Linked DNA regions of Alligator mississippiensis. The protein of the gene in region 1 interacts with the protein of each later gene in a biochemical or structural test. Links are inferred from orthologs where the notes say so. Each region holds a gene or a part of one and is shown in the gene's direction. Other genes may lie near its edges.

The links.
Region 2: the proteins of RAPGEF2 (region 1) and RAP1A form a complex in vitro, tested with the Homo sapiens proteins (2 studies listed by BioGRID and IntAct, with this or other methods). The link is inferred for Alligator mississippiensis from reciprocal best matches to the Homo sapiens genes RAPGEF2 and RAP1A.

Annotation. Positions count from the first base shown.
Region 1 is NC_081825.1:91,064,880-91,068,784, reverse strand, and holds the start of RAPGEF2 (rap guanine nucleotide exchange factor 2), read left to right. Parts: upstream 1-1,263; 5' UTR 1,264-1,576; coding exon 1,577-1,645; intron 1,646-3,905. UniProt on the Homo sapiens protein: Functions as a guanine nucleotide exchange factor (GEF), which activates Rap and Ras family of small GTPases by exchanging bound GDP for free GTP in a cAMP-dependent manner.
Region 2 is NC_081837.1:43,910,545-43,914,449, forward strand, and holds the start of RAP1A (ras-related protein Rap-1A), read left to right. Parts: upstream 1-1,667; 5' UTR 1,668-1,761; intron 1,762-3,805; 5' UTR 3,806-3,880; intron 3,881-3,905. UniProt on the Homo sapiens protein: Counteracts the mitogenic function of Ras, at least partly because it can interact with Ras GAPs and RAF in a competitive manner. Together with ITGB1BP1, regulates KRIT1 localization to microtubules and membranes.

The DNA of each region.
Region 1 (3,905 bases):
TGCACAGGCAGTCCTTGGACTTATGACGCAATTGGTTCCTGAAAACCACATCTTCAGTCGAAACATCGTAACTCAGTACCGCTTTTTAACAATGTTATAAATGGGGGATTGGTTCCTGAACCAAGGCCCGAGACCCTATTTTCACCAAAAATAACCCAGAATTTTGTACTCAATCAATTATAGATGAGTAATATAGCTACATTAATGTTTTTATTTTGTAAATAGCAATCATACTGATTTGGAAGGACTTCTTTGAGGTGACTTTGCTGGACTTTTGGAAGGGCTCTTGGCTGGAGTCTTCTCAGGAGTCTGCATGGGTGACTGGTGCCTCCCAAGTCTTGAGGGGCACCAGATCACTGATGGCGGGGACCCCAGTGGTGACTGATTGCCAATCGGGGGGAGGGGTCCCCCAGTGGTGGCCATTCGCCAACCGAGGGGCTGGTCCCCCAGCAGTGGCCAATCGCCCAGCCAGCAGTGAAACCAGAAGTGCACTTCTGGTTTTGCAGCTGGTGCTTCCAGGGGGTGCATGACTGATTTGGGGGGAGCACATGTACCTGTATGCATCCCCTACGGGTTGCTAAAGGCTGCAGGTTTTGCTGGAGTTTTGTCTGCTTTTTTAAAGGAAGTGCCCAAAGATGTTTGGACAGATGTTCTCCAGGGAGATGGGCGACGCAGTGAACTTGTTCGCTGGGGTGGCATCGTGTCGCAAAGTTGAAACCAATGTCAGGAAGTCAAAACAGGGTGTCAATTTATGTTGTCCGTGCCATTCGTTGTAATGCGAAACCTTGTAAGTCGAGGCCTGCCTGCACTCGTGTTTGTTATTTGCACCTTGGCTTGTATTGCTGCTGGCTCTGTGTGGGACAAACCTTCCGCAGGTCAAATATGTGGGCCAGAAACCGGGACTAAGACCGGGCCTTTCTGAGGAAACTGGCTCCTGGACCAGGCTAACAAGGGACAACCCCTTCAAGCCCCAGCCTGCTCCCTACTCTCCCCCAGCGCCGACACCAGTGCCTCACGGCTCCAGCGCCACTTGGCGACCCAGGAGGACCTGGCAGGGGTCACCCCGGCGGGGGGCTGCCGAGGCCAGAGCGGCCCGGGTCACCGTTGGTGGAAGGGGGCACAAAGCGCCCGGGGACTGCGCAGCCACCTGCTCCCGCTCGCGGCGCCCGGAGCGCGGCGGGGGCAGCAGAGAGCCCGGCGGGGGCGGGGCCCGAGGCGGCCCGTCCCCGCTCCGCCCCGCCCCTCCCCCGCCGCCGCCGCCGCTGCCTCACCATGGTTGCAGCACAAAGCGACCAGCCCCGGAGGCCGCTTCCCCCGTGAGCGCCTGAGCCGCGGCCCGTCCTTGCCCCGGCCCCGGGCGGCAGCGCCGGGCTGCGGGATGCAGCAGCAGCAGCATCAGGGGAGCGGCCCGGGGAGCCGCCGCTGCCGCCCGCCTTCGCCCTCTGCCGGGCGGCGGCGCTGCTGAGCCCGCGGGGCCGCCGCTCCCCCCGCCCCGCGCTCGCCAGCTCGCCCGCCCGCCAGCGCCGGGCAGCCGCCTCCCTCAGGCCAGCGCAGCACGAGCCGCCGCCGCCGCGCCATGGCCTCCTACGTGGATAACAGCTTCCGCCAGGCGGTGATGAAGAACCCGGCCGAGAGGAGCGCCCAGGTACCTGCCCCGGCCTGCGCCTCCCCCGCGCGGGCGGGCACCGCTTTGTCGGCCGCCGTCTCGGGAAGGGACGTCCGGGGGGCCGGGGGTCACCCTGCCCGGGGCAGGGGCAGCTCTGTCCCGGCCGTGCCCTGCACCTCCCTGCGAGACTGTCCTCAGCCCCGGCCGCCTCTGCCCTCCGCTCTGGCACGGCATGGACCCGGCACCCTGCCCTCCGCTCTGGCATGGCACCCTCCCCGGCCAGCAGGGACCCGGCACCCTCCCCTCCCCTCAGCCCTGGCACGGCACGGACCCGACACCCACCCACCCACCCACCGCAGCCCACTGCCCACTGTCCTGCTTTTGTGAAACATTGTCACTTTACGCTCAAGAGCTCCCCTGAAATGGTGTCTTGTCCTGGGTCAAGGAGTGAGTGAGTGCCTGCATGTGGTTTGTCTAAAGGGACACCCTAGCATGGCAGGGCGGGCAGTCCAGTTTTGCTCTGGCACCCCGGGTAGCATTTCCATGCCACCATTGCTCAGTGCAAATAGTGAGGGTTTTGTTTTTTTTTTTTAATATCATAAGAAATCAAATCATAGACATTATGGGCTGGAAGGGACCTTGAAGGATCATGGAGTCTAGTCCCCCTTCTTTGACTAGGGGGTGTTATTTGTATATATATCCTTGCCAGGCAGAATTTGTGGATATTTAGTTGGCACCAAAACATTGCTTTGTGCCTCTCTTTCTCACCCTGGTCTCACAGGCCGGCGCCAGGGTGTCTAAGACTGCCCTGGAGCTGAGTTCAGGTTCCTTTCCTTCCTCTCCAGGCATCCCATTCAGAAATGGAATTTAACTTGGTGCCTCTACTTGTCTCTCTAAAACAGTTCCTATCCTGTGACTTTCTAGTGAAGTTAAGGGGTTTTTTGCTTCTTTTTTTTTTGGGGGGGGGCCAATCGCTGCCACCTGCGAAGTAGGGTGAAGTTCTTGCACACTTAAAAACACAAAGATCCTTTTTTTTTTTTTGTATTTTTAAATATGTGCATCAGGCTCATCTGGGGGAGTTTTGGTTGCGGGATAAGTAAAAGGTTCGTACAATTGTAGAAAATGAGGGTTGGAAGGGACTTCAGGAGATCGCACACAGTCCAACCCCTGCAGGACCACCTCAAAGCACAACTAGCAATGTGGTGGGGTGTGTGTGCGTGCGTGTGCAGGATTAAGAGCTGTTAGAGCGTTAGAAACAATGAACCTGGGAGGCTGGAGGGCGACAAAATGTCAAAATGTTTCTGTATTTCTATTTTGGTTTTTTTTGGGGGGGGGGGGGGAGGCTTGTTAAGTGATAAGAGCGTCTTATGCTCTGCAGAAGGGACTGGCTGGAGGGGCTGTTGCTGCCAACTGTTTAAAGACAAATACCCTTTATACGGATCCCCAGGTCAAGCTGCAGCTCAATAGCTAATGATTCAAGGAGTTGCTCTGCTCGTTACAGTTGTAGTAGTGCCATCTGTCCTAATTCTAAAGAGTCATCCCGTTTCTCTGACAACTCGGCATGGCCTGGTTTTAGCAAGAAGCTTTATTTTTCATTACCGTGGTTACTCCTGATTTTGGCAAGGTTCTGGTTGGCTGTTGACATTTCAAAATGGGGGCGAAGAAAACTTCAAAGTAAGTTGGATCTAGAAATCCTTCCTCCTACTTCAGTGAAGTTATTTTTGTAACGCTGTGTTTTATCCTCATCTCAGGGAATACATATGGCAAAGTGAAATTGCCTGTGGAAAAGTACAGAGACATATCCTTACATTTTGAAGTGGTACCCTAATTTTTTGTGGGGGGAGGGGGAGTAGGGAGCAGAGGGAAGTGAACTAATTTTCCCTCCACTCATTCTAGATCGTATTTTATTTCAGCTGTGTTAAAGTTGCTCCTGTGTCCTTGCCTGACCTTCCTTTTTGAATGTCAATTACTTGTTTCAGATGTTGGAGCCTCTGTGAAAGCCTTTGCTTCAGAGTCAGTTACTTATGCTTAAAATTAAAGAGAGACGGTGGCATTATCGGAGAAAGCTACTATTTGTAAACGCATAGTAAGAGCTCCCACACTTAGGGAAGCTTAAATTCCCGTAATGGGAGTCTGACGCTGTCAGATCTTGGAGAAGATTATCAAAAGGCTGTCAGTTGGTCAGCAGCGGGGAGACTGGCAGTTGCTCAGAAACCAGTCAATCAGGTCATGCGCCGTCAGACAAAGCTACGAGAGACAGGACTTCTACTGTGACAGCTGTAGATTCTGCCAGATGAAG
Region 2 (3,905 bases), on another chromosome or scaffold:
GACAGAGAAGAGGAGCGTGTTGTAGCTCGAAAGGATGTGGCCAGCCTTGAGTGCCTAGGTGCTCATCAGCCTGGAGTAGGTGCTGCCTTAGCTTGGGGACATAACACAGAGACAGCTTTTAAGTGGGTGCACTAAAGGCACAGAACATAGGAAAAGGGGTTCTCATGAAACACTTAAACATGGTTTTTGCCTTCATCCTTTTCAGGGAGCCAAACCTGAGCTCGAGGGACAACCTTTAGGGCGAGAGGAGACGGCAAACCCTCGAGAACTGAGAAGTCTTTCCCCGAGCTCTGAATTGCCTCGTGCTAACAAAGAAAGCCATTTATCATCTCTTCCTTCAAAGCCTTATTATCCTCCCCTTTCAAGTCCTTGCAGTGTCTGTTTGCACGATCAAACAATTTTAAGACCGTGTACAACTTCAGTCATATTCTTCATCAGCTGCAGCCTTTTTTTCTTTTTAAATGCCTGCCTTCGTTTCCTAACAGAGCCTTGCTTGCAAACACAGCTGACATTCAGACAATGCAGAAAAGCACAGGTATGTTTTGCACCTGGAGTGCAGCCAAGGCTAAGGGGTGCAGGTTACTTCCACGGCTCCCGTTGTGAGCGTTCGAGGGCTGAAAGGATCACTCGGGTGTTGCGTGGTCGCAGCAGGCCCCTCACTTTATGCCCCGTGGCAGCATGCCACGCGGCGTGGTGTTTCAGCAGGGAGCCTTAACACTTCCACTTCCCCAGATCCCACGCGGACGGTGGGTCGCTCCCTGCACGCCAGCTGTCAGCGCATCTTCTAACACGGCGAGGGACGGAAAATATCTCCTTTGCTGCCCTGGCTGTCACCACACAGCTCCGCAGCCCTTCGCGGACCTACCTATCCGGAAACGTCGGTGCAAATTCACCTCTTTATTATCGTGTGTCGTGTTTATAGCATTGGGGTTTATAAACAGAGGGTTTCGGTGCATCCAGCAACGAAGGCAAAGACGCATCCTCTCCCAGTCCCAATCGACACGAACGACGAAAGACGGAGAGCACGTTGGAGCAGAACGATCCCTACGATGGCGGCAAGCGTCACGCTGGGTTATTAAAAACCTGTGCCGCGCGGTGGGGAATCGTGGGCGTCCCGTGGGGGAAGCCAGGTCAGGCCTGCGAAGAGACAGGACGACCCCGCTTGACCGAGCAGCGCCGCTCGTGGCAAGGAGGGGTCCGCCACGACCCTACCACGTTAGTAGGGCGAGCGTGGCCCCCGCGACGGTGTCACCAGGCCCGGGGCATCGCTGTGTGGTGCCACGCGCCGCTCCGGGGAAGCCGGAGGCGCACGTGTCACCTCCGACTAGCACAGCACTACGGCTTTGAGTTTCTTTTTTTAACAGGAGAAAACAGGTGTGTTGCAGGGCGCCATCATCCGCCTCCACCTGTCCGTGTGTGGGCTGCCTCGCGCCAGGGCGGGCGGGCCCGCGCCTGGGCGCCCTTCTCCTCACAGCGCGGACCGCCGCGTCCTGTGGGGGCACCGGCCTGCCTCGCCTCGCGTCTCCTCACGGGGCGGCGCCTGGGCCTGTGGCTCCCCGTGTGGCCGCCGGCGCGGCGCGGTGCGGTGTGAGGGGGAAAGCGCGCGGCGCGGCGCGGCCCCTGCCCCTGCAAGGCGGTGTGTGGGTGCGGGGCGGCGGCGGCGGCAGGAGGGCGCAGGCCCGGCCCGCCCCCGGCTCCTCCCCGGCCGGGCGGGCGGGCGCGGCGCGCAGGAGCGGAGCGGAGCGGAGCGGGCGCGCGGAGGTGAGCGGCCGGGCCCGTTGGCGGCTCCCCCTGCCCCCCGGGCACCCCCGGGCCGGTGGGCCCCCCTGCGATACCGCGCGTCCAGGGGGGGTTGAGGGCAGGGGCCCGGCCTTGCCGCTGTGCCACCCGTTTCCCACCCCTCTTTTATTTGTTTTTATTGGGGTGGGTAGCCAGCCCTTCCCCTGCGCGCAGGGGCTGTGGCATTTCCTCGGGGCACGAGCTGTCCCCGACCTGAGCGTGGCGGGGGCACGCGCGGGCCGTGCTCGAAAGGCCGCTGCGGTGCGGGTGGTTTCTCGCAGGCTTGAAGGACCCCGTCTTGGTGCTAAAACCTCCGCCGGACCCTCGCACGGCTGCTCGTTTCTGGTGCTAAAACTTTTACAGGACCCTCGCACGGCGTCTGCAGTGGGGCAAAAAAAACTTCTGCCGGACCTGCAGCGTAGGCGTGTTTGGCCGTAAAACTACAGGACCCTCGCGCCGCGGCGTCGGCAGTGTAGACAGACCGCTTTGGTGTTAAACCTTGTGTTGGACCCACGTCTGGGACGTGGAAACCTTTTCCCGGTAGAGGGTTGAGCGTGCCGTCGTGGTCGTGGTCGCGGTCTTTCCATTTGTTGTCCGCGTTGCCGTAATGCCATGGATGGATATAAGTTTCCAGAATTGATGCCCTCCTTGCGGCAAACCTGATTCCCGTTGATACGTTTGGTGATAAACTTAGCGGGTGTTTTGTGTTTAGGAAGTTGAACCACAGCGTTTAGGGAGGATGTTTGATGCAGGTTTCGAGCTCGGTGGTGTTTCGGTGTTTGTTTCTTCGGGATGTTTGTAAACGAGGCATGGCAGTGTTGTGCTAGCGCAATCCCAAATTGAAAGGGACTAGCAGCAAAAGTGAAGAGGACTTGTCTGTCTCCCTTGTCTAAGTCACGTGCTGGAACGAACTGGAAATGGTATAAAATAAGACCAAATAGTACAGCGCTAAATAGTATAAATAGTTGTTTTGTTTTTTTTTTTGTTGCATCCGTAATCTCCATTAACGTGAGAAATACAGCAGTTTACATGCTAAAAAGCAGGCCCGGCTCCAGGCCACTAGAATAGCTTGACTTCTTGCTTGTGCTTTGATTGATTGATTCATTGATTTATTTATTTTCTCGTTGTTTGAACCAAAACCATAGTTTACAGTTTTGGCTTTGTGCCTAGTTGTTCAGAGTCCCAAAATGTGACACCAAATGTTCTGGGTCCTTAGCAGTTTTGTATAATTGAGCTCATTATGCTCGTTGAGGAAGGTCATGGTTGTGAGTTGCTCTGTCCATGATCTGTAAGGCTGCTAGTTTAAAAATGCTCTCCTTTATTAATGAAATAGTGCTTCTCAAGTCAGCGGTGGCAAGCTCCTCAGATGGGTGACCGTTATCTTTGGTTTAGGATCTCCTGAGATTGCTAGACAACAAGGGCCAAAGTCACCGAGAAGGGTGAACTTGTGTACGACAGCACCGCTATTAAACGGCGCAGACTTTTGAATAGTGAGTTTGAGCGAGAATACTTAGAAACGAGCTGTCGCAGCGTCTGCAACTTTTTAAATTGTCTAGCTATCGTGTGGTTTACTGTCTCTGAACTATGAAATCCTTTCTGATTATTCTGACATCACTGTCACGTTGCTATAGTGACTTTGTTATACTGGGAATGCTATGTTCGCATCCTGTTTTTGTGGAAAAGATCAGTGTTATAAATAAAAAAAAATATTTAAGAGTCCATTCATAGCCATGACGGCTAGTGGTGTCATTAAAATGATGGCGTTTCTGCTTTCAGAGGGACAATGTATTTTAACAAAACTTTTTTTGTACTGAGTTTTAGGTTAGGGAATTGTCATTTCAAGTTCCTCCCAGTTTGTTCCTTCATCCTCTCTACTGTGTTTGATAAGAGTTGTAAGCTAGCTGTAGAAACTAGCTGTAGAAACTAAAAAAGAAAAAAAAAGGGTATGTAACTTGAGGTGGAGTTAGTACAGGAAGTACTGTGCTTTCACATGCTGGTTCTAAAAATAATCTATTTTCATACACAGTATTTTCATCAAAGAGTGACGCATCAGGACAAGAGTGATCTTGGTTTCCCATCAGGCTAGCACCATCCACGAAAAGTGAGTTTTATATATGTTTTGAATA